Linked DNA regions of Cricetulus griseus. The protein of the gene in region 2 binds, or shares a complex with, the protein of the main gene of each other region. Links are inferred from orthologs where the notes say so. Each region holds a gene or a part of one and is shown on either strand. Other genes may lie near its edges.

Region 1 (9,066 bases), on a different chromosome or scaffold from region 2:
TCTAGTATATTCTAGTGGTGTGAATGCATACAGATGCATGCCAGTCACTTACTAATCATTTTTACATACTGGAGAGACTAATGGCTATTTCCACCCCAGTGTCAACATACTATATATCCTGTGGCCCAAAGAGCTAAGATATTATTTTAGTTTAAAAATTCATCCTTTGGTTTTGTTGTATTTCTGTGACCTTTTTCAAGACCGAAGTTTTAGAAGCTACTTCTAAGCACTGGGGCTCTCTTTGTCTTATCTACTTCAAATAAACGTGGAAGGATGTAGAATGTAATTGTAAACTGAGGTGATTTTCCTGACTTCATAAAAGTTGAATTGCATTGACATAGTCACTAATTTTCAACAATGGGCTCTGAACTCAAAGGATATACTTCAAATTGTTTCTTGAATTTGTTTTATGCTTCCAAAAAGCAAAGGCAGAATGAGTTTGTGTCCTGTGAAACCTGAAGGAACCTTTAGCAGATTTTAATTAAATCATTTTTCTGTCTGGTGACATTTTGTTTGGTTTTGCTTTGATATAATACAAAATGCCAAATTTGATATTTATTATTTTTTGATAAAAAAGAACATTTTGTATTAGTCAGACTTTTCAACACAGTGGAAAACAGTCAAAATAGTTTAAAGAAGGAAGTATTTCTATTGGCTCACAGTGTCAAATATTTTAGTCTATGTTGGCTGATTCCATTGTTTTAGGGCCAAGGTGACACAGGATCTTGTAGGTGCATGTCTGTTCATCTCATAGAGGTGGGGAGGCAGAGAGAAGTAAAAAAAAAGGGGGGGTGGGGTAAGATATGGCCTTCAAAGACATGCTCCCAGTGACCTAATGCCTCAAAAAGGCTCCACCTTGTACAGTTCTACTGTATTTTAATACTCTATTCAAAATTTTAATTTATCTATGGATTAAATCACTGATAAAGTCAGAGTCCTTCTAACAGTCCACTCACTTCCACAAAGCCCTACTTGCTAGATTTGGAGACCAAGCTTCTAATTCACTAAGGACACTTTATATGCAAACCACATAGCTATATAGGTAGGTCAAGCTGAAAATGTAATTTCTAATATTCCATATTATCTCTGTGCCTGTATCCTGTAGCTTTTATGAGAAGCATTTCCAGCAGTTGTTTCATCACCAGTCCTATAACTTACTCCCACTTTTTTGATATCAAAACCAGTTCAATTAGTTGTGATGTTCTGATTTTGTTCAAAGACAGAAAAAAATGAGTGGTAGAATTAACATTTGAATAAAAATTTCTGCCTCCAAACACTACATTAGTCTTTCCAAACAGGGCACACAGGGACCTGTATCCTTGTCCACATTTACTGCTGATGTTGCCCTTTTTAAACTCTTAGACCCCACTATAATGCTGTAGGAAGGAGAAGTTCCCTGCACATCCTAATCAGCCCTGTCTCAGAGGAGGAAATACAACATGTGAATGCTATCCTCCAGTTAATTCCTTCATTTGTTGAGTTTCAGGCTTCACTGGGATAACACAACAGTAATACTACATCCCAGCATCCATTTATGGTAGCCTCCAGCTTGTCAAACCCAGTGAATTATGTCTGGCAGGTCAAATATAGCAAAGATGGCAGAAGGTGGTAAGAAATAAAGAGGCTTCTCAAAAGGACTCAGCCAATTTAGTAAGTTTTATTCTGCCATTGTTTCTTGTTCTTGGTGTGAAAAATAATTAGCCACTTCCCTAATTGCTATGTGTGTCTGAGGGGGCCTTGTTCTTACTTCTATGTTCATCTGGTACCCAGCATGTTGGAGAACAAGTGAAGTTAAAGTATATGCAGGGAAAGCTTTTGCTCTTATTTGATGCTGAGGATGAATAAGTCAGCTATGCAGATGCCACATGCTCCTGCTATCTGCTCATACACTAATTACTCACAGATTTATTGGATCAGGGAGGTACCGTGCCAGAAGGCTAACTGAGTGTTGTTTGGAGCTCTCAAATGTTATTAAATACTGTTTGGTGTACTTGGATAATTTTAATCATTCCAGTTATCTTTTTCCTTTTTTTAAAAGCCTTTACCCTTTTTATACACCCATAAAAACCCGAGATATTAAGAAACTGGCTTACCGAGAATGAGAATGACTTCTGACCTCTTCGTGGGCTGCATTTATTAAGACCAGGGAGGTCATCACCCCATTGCTAGGTCAGAAAATTTTCTTTAGAGTTGTGCTTTCTCATCTGGAATGTTTAGATTCTCACAATAATATATGTCATAACAGTATAGGTAAGGCAATTTACAGGTAATTTTTACACATGAAAATGAAATCTAAGTTGAAATCAAAACTGAAAAGTCCCGAGTAAAGGAGATAATTTGCCTTTTATGAATTTTCAGAAGTGTCACCACAATTCGTAGGTACTGAAAGAAGGTGCTTAGGCAGCCATTGGGGGAAGCAAGGGCTCTGGTTCACTTTGTGCCCAATCGTTTAAAATGGTGTTTGAATGTCCCCGGAAAAAGTATATCCCAGAGGTGCACAGGGGGCTCATCTCTGGGAACTCTGACAAGCTTGCAAGTCATCGAGTCCAGGCTGGCTTCCTACCTCTAATCACAAGATGAGGAGGAGTCACCTACCTGATTTGCATGGAGCAATTCAGTGAGACTGTCCTAAGAATGCAGCTTTAGGGAGAGCAAAGCTTCTAATACTGGACTGTTGCCGGGGATGGAACTGGTGTTGATTAAGCAGGGTTCATGTTTTAAAGGGCAAAGTGGTAAAAATGTTAATTTTAGTTTGTTGGTAAAATATGTTTAATCATACTATAGAATCCAGTCATTGATAGAAAAACAAAACACAACTCCAATAAGTGACAATTCTAACATTGTGGAAGTTGATACAAGATTAGTTAGTAACCATGGTATCATATTTTAGATACTTATGAATTAGGAAAACAAGATGCATAATAGAGGGAGCACAGCACACACATGTGCATACCCATGCACATACATGTGCATACTCACACACACATATTATACCCCCAGGCACACATGAGTACACACACAGGAGTAGTCTCATTATTTACTAAAGAAATTGTAAAATCATTAAAAGCTAATCTATTGCAAGTTTTGGAAAAAAGGAATACAGCTCACACTAATAATAACCAAAGATTATTTGCACACTTTTGTGTGATCTATACAACACCATTAACACAGCAGATGGAGGTAAATGACCATCAACCACGTTTCTGCAATCAGTGGCTTTTTCAGAGCAGCTTAGGCAAGGTGAATATCTTGATGGAGGGTTATCACAGCATCTTTGAGTATAACAGGGATCTTCCTAGGGTTTTCTAGGGATTTTGACTTATGTGAGATGAGCAGTATTTCAATTTCTGAGCATGTATAGTCACTGCTCTCCAGATCTGAGGATTTAGTGGTTCTTGAGTAAAATCCATTTATGAATTCTTAGTGTTATAGCATGCCAGCTCTATATTTCTGTGTTTCACTCTAATGAGCAATGGGATGATACTATGTTTAAAATGAACATGGGTAAATAAGAATCAGAAATGCTGCTCATTGGTAGATATGCCTAAATATAAAAAACACAGTCAGTACACACAAGCTACTGTACACTATCATTTGTCACGGCTGTACCGAAGATTACTGTGACTGCAACACCATGAATGTTTCTAGGAACTTCCAGGCATCCTGAAGATGACTGTAGTTGTTATTAGCAAGTGATGCAAGCAACAGGATTGATTGTAGGAATCTGCTCAAAATCATGCCACGTGGTTCTCTTGCTTTCACAACCCCAGAGTCACACATAACAAATGGCTGTGAAATCTGATACGAAGAATGATTAAATTCTGCCCATGACCACGTGATTTACTGCTTTTGCAGCTGTTGGTGAGAAAGGATAAAATTACACTTTGTAATAATCAATACAGTTTTCCTAAAACCCAGTGTTCCAGAAGCTTCACATAGCATGCTTCATCAGAGAGTTGAATCTTCATCCTGACTTAGGTTGAAATCACCTTCTTCTTGTTCTCTTCATTTCCAGAAATGTCATCCCAACAGTACCAGCAGCAACGTCGAAAATTTGCAGCTGCTTTCTTGGCATTCATTTTCATCTTGGCAGCTGTGGACACTGCTGAGGCTGGGAAGAAAGAGAAACCCGGTAAGCAGTGGAGTCACAGAGAGATGTTTCCTTGGATGGTACCCAGGCAGCCCAGCTACCTGCTTATAGTTCTCCCACAGTTTCTAACATCCTTTCAATTATTTAGGGAAACCCTAAATTGCCCCATTTTGCTCCCGAATGAACATGCCCTTGGATAGTCATGAGTGGGCTGTGGTGTTGGGGGTCTCTTTTAGTCTGTGTCCTATACACATTTCTATTATGCCTTTTTACCCACAGAACAGAACCACACCATCAATTTTCAATGAAATTTTTAGTCTGACCACTACTACTTCTAATAGACATTCCCTCCTCATTTTTCAAGCTTTTTATAAACTACTTAGAATTTTTTATTTTGACAGAAATATTTCCTTCTTAGCCAGGCATTGGTGGCACACGCCTTTAATCCCAGCACTCAGGAGGCAGAGGCGGGTGAATCTCTGTGAGTCCAGCTTGATTTACAGAGTGAGTTCCAGAAGAGTCTCCAAAGCAATACAGAGAAACCCCATCTCAAACAACAACAACAAAACAAAACAAAATAAAAATGAAAAATATTTCCTTCTTTTTGTAAAATTTTACACTCTCAAATGTTTCATCAAAGATACACAAATCTTCAAATTTCATCTGGCACAAGTGTGTTAGCTGTTTGTTGCTGCATTCAGACACTTGAGGAGTGAATTTAAGAGGAAGATGGCTTTATTTCACTTAGGGTTTCAGAGGTGTGGGCCCGTCACTGCAGGCACGCGTGGCAGAATAGCTCATATTGTGGTGGTCAGGGAGCAGGCAGAGGGACAACGCCTTCATTCAGAAACATCTTTCTAAAAGGAAATATTAGTGATTCACGTAGAACAGTCTCTATCACACACATGACTTAGTAGTATTAGTTCCGTCTCTGCCCCCATGTTTTCTTTCTTTCTCCTCTTAACCATGCATTGACTGGATCATTGAGAAGACATCCCACTGTCTTCCTGGACAATACAGATAGAGATAAAAGTCATAGACTCCACAATCGAGGTTCTGAGGTGTGAACTTAGCCATATTCAAGAGTTCAGTACATTTCTGGACGGTGGTTGCTTTTTGTTTCCTCCCTTGCAGAAAAAAAGGTGAAAAAATCTGACTGTGGAGAATGGCAGTGGAGTGTGTGTGTGCCCACCAGCGGGGACTGTGGACTGGGCACCCGGGAGGGCACTCGCACTGGTGCTGAGTGCAAGCAAACCATGAAGACCCAGAGATGTAAGATCCCTTGCAACTGGAAGAAGCAGTTTGGAGGTCAGTCTCACCCTGTGTTCTTATTGCTTTAATCTACTATTCTGAAATACTTTTGGAACAATTCTATCAAATTCATTTTCAAAGCCAACTCATGTTTATATTAAATTAAATAAATATATTTTCTTAGACACACGGTGACCAGCCAGCTTTCCTCTTAGATTCAGCACTAGTGATATCAGGGGCTGGATTTTTGTTGTTTTTGTCTTGTACATTTTAGGGTAATTAGTAACATCCTTGTCATCTACCATTATATTTTCAACCATATTTTAATACAACCTACTCTACCAGCCAGGAAAACTGAGAAAATGTCATTTGATAGCCAAAATGACAACAGAGTCATATAAATTAGACTTTAAATAGTATGGGGTATGGTTAAGACTCACTTAAAAAAAGTTTGTGAGGCAGGGCATTGGTGGCACAAGCCTTTGATCCCAGCACATGGGAGGTAGAGGCAGACTGATCGCTGTGAGTTTGAGGCCAGCCTGGTCTCCAGAGTGAGTGCCAGGATAGGCTCCAAAGCTACACAGAGAAACCTTGTCTCGAAAAACCAAAAAAACAAAAGTTTCTTAAAGGACTCCTGTCATGAACATGTATAAAAATCTCAAGAATCAATATAGAATCAAAACAAACAAGCAAACATACAACCCTAACAATCCAGGAAGATAGTGAATAAATACCAACAGACATAATTTATGAGGAGAATAGATAATAATAAATAGACACCTGGAAAGATACTCAATTTCTCTGTCCCATTAAGGGAAGAGAGATTGAAACCCTGGTGACATGTTGCTATGTACCCATCAGAATGCCTGGAATAAAAACATTATGATACCCCTGGCAGTGAAGATGCAGAGACACTAGGTTATGTAGTTACTGTCAGTAGAAATAGAAAATGGCACAGCAATACTAAAAAAGATACTACTTTTTGGAGAGGTTGCTTGTTTTATGTTTGTATGAAATTAAACATGAGTTGACCTTACCATGTAACTCAGCAGTTTCTTGGGCGTTTTTCTTCCAGAGAAAATAAAATGTTTTCACAGAACACCTTATATGAATAAATAGAATTTGCATTTGTATGTATATAAATTAGCCAAAATAAAGCAATACAGGCATCTTTTAGTTGGCGATGGATAAATAAAGTTTGGGATATCTATATCGTGGATGGTTACTCAGTTGTACAAAAACATACAATATTGATTTACACAACGTGAGTTGATAGTCACAAATTTATGGTAAGTAAGGAAGTAGCCAGTCTCAGAGCCATAGAGATGGCTCAGTTGTTAGGAACACCTGCTTTTCGTGCAGTGGACCTGGGTTAGGTTCCTCACACCCATCATTCCAGTTCAAGAGGATCATACACCATCTCCTAATTTCTGTGGGCACGAGAGTAGCCAATCACAAAAGTTTACATAGTTTAAAATCTCATTTATAGAATGAATTGAGCTGAAGAAGATTTGTGGTTGTAGGTAACTTAAGAGGTAGGAAGGCTGTGACTGTATGTAAGGTGACAATGGGACCCTGGCATTGGGATGATATGTACATTAATGGTGCTGATTACATGCATTCACATGGCTAGAACTATACATGTCCATGCATATACACAGAACTATATGCGTTCATGCATATAAAACTGAAATCTGACTCCACTCTTGGAATTCATAATTTCCATTTTATAAGATAGGCCCACAGTTGTTCAAGATGCCAAAATTGGGGAAATTGGGGGAAGCATGTATGGAATGCCCCCGTGTTATTCTTATAACTGCATAGGAATATGTGATGGCTTAAATACAAAAATGTAACATCAAAATTGTGCCCTTATTATCACTACAATAAGCTCTCATAAGCATTGTTCTTCCAATTTGTTATGCTTTTTAGCTGAGTGCAAATACCAGTTCCAGGCTTGGGGAGAATGTGACCTGAATACTGCCTTGAAGACCAGGACTGGAAGTCTGAAACGAGCTCTTCACAATGCTGACTGCCAGAAGACAGTCACCATCTCCAAGCCCTGTGGCAAACTCACCAAGCCCAAGCCTCAAGGTAAGAAACTGTCACTCTGTCAGCTTTAATAGACTAGGAGACTCAGGCGAAACCCAAAAATTCTAGGAGAGAAGCGATTGAAAACTGCCCATTTGTGAACACAATAACATACTTTCCGTAGGCAGTCTCAGAGTTCAAGTTGAAGTTCTCTGCATACACAAACACCTTGGGAGTTAGGAACTAAACAGGAATACAACTAAATGCCTCAGCAAAACATGCCAGTTAAGACGGCTGATACAAGGATAACATCTATTTCAAATTTCAAAATTGGGACAAGATAAATAAACTAACAGAACTCATAATGCATAAAACTTTAAATCAAACCTCTCTTAGATTATCTACAGTATGATTTTCACAGAATCAGGAAAGATATGGTATCTATTCCTTTCCTCTTCTACGAGAGGTGATAAGCTTTATATATATCTTTTAATAACTGTGTAGCTTTATCACCTTGAAGTATTTCAACTTTCTGTACCCATTCATCACAGAATTTTAAAACTATGCAGAGTACTTGTTCCCAGAATGCCAGGCTCCACATTCATGCTGGTAAATCAGGACCGTATAGCCTCAGTTTGATGCAGGTGGGATGCCAGCTGGAGGAAGCCAAGGAGGTGGTAAATCGTTTCATTTCATAAGTAGATAAATTGAATTCTGTCTACTCCAAATCTGTATTTTTCAAGTCATAATCCCCCACCCTGTATCTCAGAATGTGACTGTACTTAGAAGTATGGACTTTCAAGAGATAACTGAGTTCAAATGAGGTCATAGGAATGGGACCAAATTTGATATGGTCGATGTTCTTCTAAGAGGAGATTAGCAAAGAGACACACACAGAGGGAGGGCCGTGTGAGGACACAGGGGGTGGAGGAGAGGTGCCAGCCACAGAGAGAAGTCCCACAGGAAATCAGGTCAGTCCAACACTTTGATCTCAGACTTGCCATCCCCAGAATGGTGAGAGAATGCATGCCTATTATCCAAGCTGCCTGTGCTATGGTACTTCATGTGGCTCCCACAGACAATTCATGCTGTAAGCTTCAATGAAATCCAAATTAAAATACCCCCTTGACCTCTCCTTGTACTTGACTCTCAAAATACACTTGAAAATTTATCCTGCCGGATTCATTGTAAAGAGAAATTCAGATAAATGCTGGTGATTAGCCAAAATAAGAAAAAAGAAATCCCCCAGAAACTGAGGACAGCTGGTGCTTTGCCAGAGAGTGTTCTTTCTACATGTCAAGTTTTTCATCTTCTGATGCAGTTGGCAATGGAAACTTGAACCTCCAAGTTCAAGACAGTTGGGTACTGTGGGACCACAGATACTCTGAGACTTTGGCTACCTTCCAGGGGAGTTTCTACCCACTTTCTTTGTGTTACTTATCTAGACAAGACAAGCTAAAAAAAACAGGAGCCATTTTCAGAAATGGAGTTTAGAGATTCAGCCTTCAGACTGACTTATTTCAAAGCAGTAATTGAACCCAAACCTGCAGCATCCCTAGCAAATCGAAAAGGGATAGAACTCAAGGAGTTTCCTATGCTACACAGAACAGAGAAGCTCTGCCTGAGCTGTGTACAAGGGTTTCCACAGGAACCTAGAAAATTCCCACTGCCCCAACTTGATCAGACCCACCAGA
Region 2 (8,572 bases):
CCAGCAAGGGTCTCAGCAGAGAGTGGGCACAATGGAAGGAGATAATCAGAACTGTGGTTAGGGTAGGAGGTAGGATAGGAATTGCCTGGGAAGGGAAGTTCTATATTGTTTGAGGGTCTTCTTTGAGGGGGCTGAGGTTTGGAGGGGCTGTAGCAAGATCTGGATATATGGCTCAAGCTGGCCTTGAACTTGCTAGATAGCCCAAGAGGGGCTTAAATGTGACCTTTCCCTAACTCTGCCTTCTGGGCTCCAGCATTGCTGGTGTGTTCCACCACAGCCAGCCACGTGTCTATATATCGAAAAGGCTATGAGTTACATTTGTCAAGACTCACTGAATAAATACTTATGTATTTCCTACTGTAAGTCCTAAAATATTTCTAGTTAAAAACCTACATGTCAACTATTGTGGAGGAAGGGAACCGATAATGCAACTTAATTTAAAATGCATCGAAAAGAGAGAAAGGGCTGGGTGTGGAAGGAAACACAGAACTGCAATTTTAGCATTCTGGGGATCAGGCAGGAGGACCATGAACTCCAGGCCAATCTGGAGTGAGACCCTGTCTCTGAATAAATAAGTAAATAATAAATGGAAAGGCATGAGAACAAAGCCAGGCTAGCCGAAATGCTGAGATCTAGGTCATCTGTGGTGATAAATGGAAGCAAAAACGATCCTGCTAAGCAAAGTAAGTCCAGCACAGAGAGACAAACTGCCTGTTTTCTCTCACATACAGAATCCAGGCTTTTAGGGCTGTCACGTGACCCAGAAATCCCACGTCTCTGTTTCATTCAAAAGAATCAGCATGAGAATATTGAGAGACTATTGGCACGCCCACACCATTCACAAAAGTCAAGTTCGGGAATAACCTGCATGCACTGTGGCTGACAACCAGTCATCCAGCAATGACATTCATCTGTAGTGGAATACACTTTATCCCTTATATGAAAGGAAAATCTGTCATTTGTGCCAATAGGAATGAACATAGAAGACAGTATTCTATGTAAAATAAAACAGACACAAAAGGCCAAATCATTCCATTACATGAGTTGTCTAAAAGAACCAAATCATACAAGCAACATGGAGGACTGCCAACCACTGCCTAGAAGCAGGTGGGAGCCAGACAAGTGCAGGAGGGTACATTTCAAGTCTGTTAAGAGGCAAGGCCAAGTATTTGAGCATTTTTACCACAATACACTTTTTTAAAGAAATAAAGGAAAATGTAAGACTGGAAAAGACTAGAGACCAGAGACCAAGAGACCACACTGCCTGAGCTCACTGGGAGAGAACACAGCATGGGTGAGGCAGGCCAAACTGCAAGGGAGTTCCCCACAAGCAGGGAATTCATGCAGCAGTGACAGTCACTGAGGAGGGAACCAGCTCTTCATCCAGGATTCAGGGTGACCCATCACCAATGTGAGATACTTAACTTTAAGACACAGAACAAGAGAAAGATGCTGGATTCAGTTATTCAAAGACTATCATTGGTCAAGCCTGGTGGCTCTCAACTGTCATCCCCACACCCACAGGCTTTGAGGCAGGAGAGTCCCCAGCCCAGGCTACATAGTGAGACACTTAATTTCTACTAAGAATTGCAGTACAGGACTTGGGAGACAGACAGCCCAGGGGCTAAAGTGCTTGCTGCACAAGTGTGAGGACCTGATTTCAGATCCAAGCACTCACACCAAGGCTCAACATGGTGCTACACATCTGTAAAGACAGTGCTGGGGATGGAGACAGATGGATTCTGGGACTGGACCAGCATCTCCAGGTTCAGTGAGAGTCCCTGAAGATGAGATGGGGGACCAGTGAGAAAGACAGAGGTCCTTGCTGACAAGCTGATGACCTGAGTTCAATCTCCAGGATCCACTCACTGTTCCTCAGCTTCCACATGCAATTTAAAAACGTAATTTATACCACCACAACCCACACACACACACACACACTAAGGCTCCAGAAATATTAGGGAATAGGGGTTGGAAAGAATATAAGCACAAGATAATAAAAAGAAAAACTATGAAATGCCATCTCTGGGTACAATTCAGCCATTCCAATAATGAACTCAATGCAAACGCACTGGCCCACACTGAGCCCAAACACAAATGGGCCTGTCAACAGCCAATCACCAATGGAGAAGGGGCTTGAGAGGGCCTGCCATGCCCCCTACTGAACAAGTAGGCACTGATGGAGTCTGGGAAATAAGGAGTTACAACCATCAGTTGAGCCTGGTGAGCCCAACCAGGCTCCATTGGAGGGCTCCAAACTGGTTAACCTTAGTGAGTCTCAAATAAAAAAAAAAAGTCAGTATGACTATGTAGGGAGGAAAGAGAGCTAGGGGGAGACAAGGAAAGATGGAGGTGGGAGTTCAGATGTATGTGTGCATGAAAAGGTCAAAGAATTTAATTTGGAGGCTCAGTACTTAATTGCACTTACTGCTCTTGCAGAGGACCTGGGGTTGATTCCTGGCACCCACATCAGGCAGCTCACAGCTGCTTGTGACTCCAGCTCCAGGGATCCACTGCCCTCTGACCCCTAGAGGCACCTGCAGGCATGTGGTGCCCATAAACTCAGGCAGCCATACACACACATAAGTAAAAATAATAAATCTTGAAAACAAAATTTAATTTTAAAAACATCAAAAATATAAAGAAAGGGGCTGGGCATGGATGGTAGTGCATGCTTTCAATCTCAGAACTTTGGAGGCAGAAGCAGGTGCACCTCTATGAGTTCAAGGCTAGCTTGCTTTGCATAATGCGTTCAGACCAGTCAAGCGAGACCCTGTCTCAAAAAAAAAAGGGGGAGGAGGGGCGTGAATAAGGTGGAGAAGTGGTTGAAAAGTGTTGTGGAATTTTCCTTTACACTGCTAGGCAGGGTTTGGGGGGCAGAGGAACACTGGGAAGAAGGGCAGAGTCAGGAGGAGACACACATGCTTGCAACACACACAAACTTACTATAGCAACAGCAGAATTTTAAGCCAAACTCGGGAGTCTTTTTTTTTTTTTTTTTTTTTTTTTTGGTTTTTTGAAAAAGGTTTTTTTTGTGTAGCTTTGGAGCCTTTCCTGGCACTCGCTCTAGAGACCAGGCTGGCCTTGAACTCACAGAGATCCATCTGCCTCTGCCTCCCGAGTGCTGGGATTAAAGTGTCCAACTGTATGGGTTTCCTATGACATAGGAACATATGGGGTAAAGATAACATAAAACTGGGACAGAATGGGAAAGAACAGAACTCTTGTTCCCTCAGCCAGAATGGGGATCCCAGAGGAAGGGACTAAACAAGGTACAGCATTGTCATACATCTCTCCATCTGGCCTAACTGCAGGTCCACAGCCAGTGCCAAACACTTGACATCCTCACGCATGTAGCTTGCCATCTACAGTCCCAGGCCTCAGCCATAAAGTCCAGTGTGGATACCCAAAGCACCACCTACCATTACAGAGAGTTCGTCTACACTGGAGATTCCCTGAGGCAGCTATGAAGAGTGTTATTGTCTTAAAGGTACTGGAAGGAGTGCAGGAAAACTGATCCATCAGTTAAATCGGAGGGTCCACATCACACAAGTCGGTGCTGTACACAGTCAGTGGTAGGGACTTACCTGGCTGTGAAGGGCGCTGATGCTGACTGCCGATGCCCCATGAAAAATGTAGACAGCACCCTGATTCTCCTGCTCGCCTGGGGCCCCGATGGCCACATCTGTCAGCTTGTCCCCATTCACATCTCCCAGCACTGTCAGAGCTGCCCCAAAGCGACCCCAGGGATGGCCCTGCTCACCGTGGAGAATGGCCTCACACCGCCACTGTGCCCTCTGCTAAACAGAAACAGTGACAGACCCAAAACCCTGGCAACCCTCCACCTCACACCCAGACCCACCCGGCCCAACACTCACCCCCCTAGGCAAGGGACACACTGACACCTGGCCTCCTCGAGTCTGGGCATAGTAATGAGGGGCTCCAATGAGGATCAAGTTGGTGTTGCCATCACCATTCATGTCCACGGAACAGAGGGAGGCCCCAAAGTAGGAGCCAATCTGAAAGAGATTGGGTAAAGATAACTTACCTCTTCCCACCTAAGAAGAATCCAGGAGTTTCCTGTCTGTGAAGAAGCCAGACATAGTGGTGCATACCAGAACCTAGAAGGCAGAAGCAGGAGGATCAGGAGTTCAAGGCTGCATAGGGAGAGGGCATAAAATTTGTCTGAAAGAAGAGAGAAGAAAATGAGACCACGATTACTGGGGAAAATTGTTTGTAGAACATACAATTTCCTATATGTTTGTGGTGATTTGAATAAGAATGATCCCCATAGGCTAGAATATTTGAATACATAGTCACCAGGGAATGGAACTCTCTGATAGGATTAGAAGGATTAGGAGAAATGGCCTTGTTTAGAGGAAGTGTGCCACTGGGGGTGGATTTTCCGGTTTTCTTTTCTTATTTTCTTTTTGGTTTTCTGTGTTGTTATTATTTTCAAGGAAGGGTTTCTCTATGTTAATAGCCCTGGCTGTCCTGGAACTTGCTTTGTAGACCAGGTTGGTCTTAAACTTACAGGGATTCGCCTACCTCCGCCTCCCCAGTGCTGGGATTAAAGGTGTGCACCACCACCTGGAGGGTTTTGAGGTTTTCTTTTTTTCTTTTTTTTTTTCTTTTCTTTTTTTTTTCTTTTGGTTTTTCGAGACAGGGTTTCTCTGGGTAGCTTTGGAGCTTATCCTGGCACTCGCTCTAAAGACCAGGCTGGCCTCCAACCTACAGAGATCTGCCTGCCTCTGCCCCCCCCCCCCAGTGCTGGGATTAAAGGCGTGCGCCACCAACTCCCGGCTTCTTTTTTTTCTTTTTTTTTTTTTCCTTTTCTTTTTAGATTTATTTATTATGAATGCAGTGTTCTGCCTGCAAGTATGCCTAAACACCAGAAGAGGGCACCAGTCTCATTATAGATGGTTGTGAGTCACCATGTTATTGCTGAGAATTGAACTCAGGACCTCTGGAAGAATAGCCAGTGCTCTGAAACTCTGGATCATCTCTCCAGTCCTGAGGTTTTCAAAAGCCCAGTGTTTCTTTCTTTCCCCCTTTCTCTCAGTCAATAGATCAGGATGAGGCTTTCAGCTACTGCTCCAGAGATGTGAGTGCCACCATGCCCACCATGATGATATGAACTAAACCTCTAAAATTGTAAGCAAGCTCCCAACTAAAGAGCTTGCCTTGGTCGTGGTGTCTCTTCACAGCAACAGAACAGTGACTAAAACATGATTCATGATACATTTTAAGAAAATGCAGGTGCGTGCAAGAGCATGCGAGAGAGATGAGGGGGGGATAGTAAGGATGAAATCCAGGAATTCAGACAAGCTATGCAACTGGTCTACCATTGAACTATACCCCCAGCCCGGTCAATTGAATATGCTGCTAGCTAGAGGAATTTATCATAAAGTCGGTGGACAGTAGATTCAGATTTATCCCAAATGGCATTTCAGGTAAATTACTAAGGCAGCAAAGGAGATGTTACATAGGAGAACACAATTATAGTATCTAGAAGAGCAGACACCACACCTTTTAGATTAGAATTCTTTGTAAGGGCAAAGGATAAAGTCTGATTTGGCCGTAATCGATCTGACTGTACTAAAATCGCGATTATTAGGCTGGAGGTATAGCCCAGTGGTAAACTACGTGGCCTGTATTCTTAAAGCACTGAGTAGTTCAGTCCCTAGAACTGAAAAACTTGCTACCCAGAAGGTTTTGTGTTAAGTAAAATGTCTTTTTAATATGCTCAAGGTAAACATGCACCATTTATCTGTAGAACTCAGCCACTTATTATCCACTTATTCATTCAACAAACACTTGTTCTCTGAGCACTAGACTGGGTAGCAGACACAGTGCCTTCAAGGACTCTCAGCATAGCAGTGTGGAGAGAAGAAGAGCAAAGGAACAGTTAAACGGGATATATTACAGGTTTCAAGCTAGAAGTCCCAGGCAGGAAAAGCACAGAGGACTCTCGACAACACGATTTCTGCCCCCCCCCACACACACACACACACACCATTGCAGGAGACTCACCGACCACCAAATAAAGTAACTGGAGCTTGGCCTGAAGTCAATGGCATTTTTTAGGTCAGGTTTACTGAGGCAAATTTTGTATAAAATAAAATTCAACTGTTTTAGTATATAGCTTTAGAGTTTTGACAAACATCCAGTCACATAATCATGGCCACCATCAGGATATGGAACTCACAGTTGGCTTCTTCCCTGTTAGCAATCCCCAGAAACCACTGAGGTGTTTTCTGTCCCTGTATGACAGTTGTTCTTTTCTAGATTGCCTTAAGAATGGCTTACATGGTGTATAGACTTTTTTAGACTTTGTCTTTCACCTGGAATAATTCACCTGAAATCTATCCATATCATTTGCATACATTAGTAACACACCGTTCTATTGCTGATGAGCACTCCGCTGCATGGGTGTGCCACAGTTTGCTATTCCATCCTCCGGCTCAGGGTGTCCAGATTGCCTCCAATTTGTCATTATTAGTAACAGAGCAATGGCAGGCATTTGCACATAGAATTCTATGTGAATATCTGTCTCCTTTTCTCCTCAGTGATGCTGAGTTGCACTGCTAGTGTGGTGAGTGGGTGTTAAATCTCACAAGAAGTTGCCTTTTCTTTGGATCTGGCTCACATGACATGAGATGAGACGGTTTGTTTTAGATTGTCAGCTCCACTGTCCCTGTTGGAAACCCTCTCCATTACATCTTTTGCACTTTTGTTGAATATTACTTCATCAATTACGACAATAACAACATAAAAAGTGGCGGAAGAAGCTGTTAATGAGCAGTTTATTTTAATGTGCATGAAACTGTTATTTGTTAAAAATAGGCAATTATAACTGTCAGATGCTTTATGTAAGCCTCCTATGCACAGAGAAAAATCTGAAGCAGAAACACAAAGAAGAAAGAAATCAAAATATATAACTATAAAAAAATTCATCAAGGCCAAACAAGACAATAAGAGACAGAATGGAGCAAAGAAACTACAAAGCAGAAAACTGAACAAACCCAGGAGTGTCCACCAACAATCGTGCTAAATACAAGTAAATTACCCTTTTCAACCAAAACATGGAATTCCCAATGGGCTTGGAGTTTTTTCGTTTTGTTTTGCTTTTTCAATTATTTGATTTTATGTATATGGGTGTTTTGTCTTCATGTGTCTGTGTACTATATGTGTGTCTGGTGCTTATGGAGGCCAGAAGAGAACATTAGGCCCCCCAGGAACTGGAGTCACAGATGGTTATGAGCCCGGTGTGGATGATGGGAGTCAAACCTAGGTCCTCTGCCAGAGCAATGAATATCCTCAACTGATAAATCAACTCAACAAGACTGATTGAATGGGTTTTTAAAATCCAATTACTGGCTACCTAAATTAGACCTTTAGGTGCAGATTTATGGACATAGCTTGAAAGTAAAGGAAGAAGAAAAAGAAAAGTTACTCCAAGCAAATGATGACCACGAAAGAGAAGGATGCCAAGACTCCTGTCAGACTAGATGGGCCTCACTCATGTCAGCCTGCCTTGGGACAGAAGCATGGTGACAGAGAAGACAGTTCATCAAGAGACTTCTGTGCAGCAGAACTGGAACAGTCTAAAACTCCGGAATAAGAGTGAATCAGTTAAAAAAAAAAAAAGAAAGAAAGAAAGAAAGAAAAAGAAAAAGACTTCCAACAAAGAGAAACCTGTGGCTCATTGCTCCACCCCACAAAGCTAAAGAGCATCAGTTGTTGGAGATGAAGGTAACAGGCTCCTAAAGCCCAGGCTGGCCTTGAACTCCTAAGCCTCTACCTCTAAATGACTGGGATTGCAAGTGTCTCAAGCTTGAAAGAGAGGGAAAAGTTCCAAAGTCATTTCATAAAGTCAGAATTACACTAATACTAAAGCCAGACAAGCACACAACAAAAAGAAAATACAGACAGACACCTCTTGTGAATATAGCTACAAAAAAAAAATTCTGAATAAAGTGTTAACAGAATGAACCCAACAGCACATTTTCAAATGATACCCTTAGTCTGGTGGCATAGATGAGAGGTAGTGTGTATTTGCCTAGCACTCATGAAGCTACCCAATACTGCAAAGGGGGGGGGGGATGAAGAATAAGGAGAAGAGGAGGGAAGGAAGAAGGCAAGGAGGTGGGAGAAACTATTACCAACAAAGCTGATATATCACATCAATAAACTAAACAGGAAAAGTTGTGTGATCATTTCAGGGCATGCAAGAAAACCATCTTATAAGATTCAACATTTCTTCATAATAAAAATCCTAAATAAATTCTAATAAATTAGTAAAAGAATGTACGTTGGCGGGCACCTTTAATCCTAGCACTTAGAAGACAGAGGCAGGTGGATCTTTGAGTTCAAGGCCAGCCTGGTCAACAGAGCTAGCACACACACACACACACACACACACACACACACACACACACACACACCCCAGAATCTATGACAAACCAAAAACAAGCACCATCCCAAATGATAAGAAATTGAAACTATTTCCTGTTAAGATCTGAACAACACTGTTGCTCAACACAGTATAAAAAGCCCTAGCCGGGTGTTG

What was found.
Region 1: the proteins of Itgam (region 2) and Ptn are in contact, whole or in part, in an NMR structure (PDB 8VOH), measured with the Homo sapiens proteins. The link is inferred for Cricetulus griseus from reciprocal best matches to the Homo sapiens genes ITGAM and PTN. Residues at the interface, in NP_000623.2 of Homo sapiens: Pro273, Asp276, Arg277, Gly279, Val280, Ile281, Arg282, Tyr283, Lys306, Pro307, Arg309, Asp310, His311, Ala334, Ile335, Glu336, Gly337, Thr338, Gln339; in NP_001308315.1 of Homo sapiens: Val56, Pro57, Thr58, Ser59, Asp61, Cys62, Gly63, Leu64, Thr66, Glu68, Thr79, Lys81, Thr82, Gln83, Arg84.

Annotation. Positions count from the first base shown.
Region 1 is NW_023276806.1:191,418,103-191,427,168, forward strand, and holds the start of Ptn (pleiotrophin), read left to right. Parts: upstream 1-4,017; coding exon 4,018-4,132; intron 4,133-5,224; coding exon 5,225-5,398; intron 5,399-7,273; coding exon 7,274-7,435; intron 7,436-9,066.
Region 2 is NC_048596.1:72,698,580-72,707,151, forward strand, and holds part of Itgam (integrin alpha-M), read right to left. Parts: intron 4,020-8,572; coding exon 3,879-4,019; intron 3,801-3,878; coding exon 3,588-3,800; intron 1-3,587.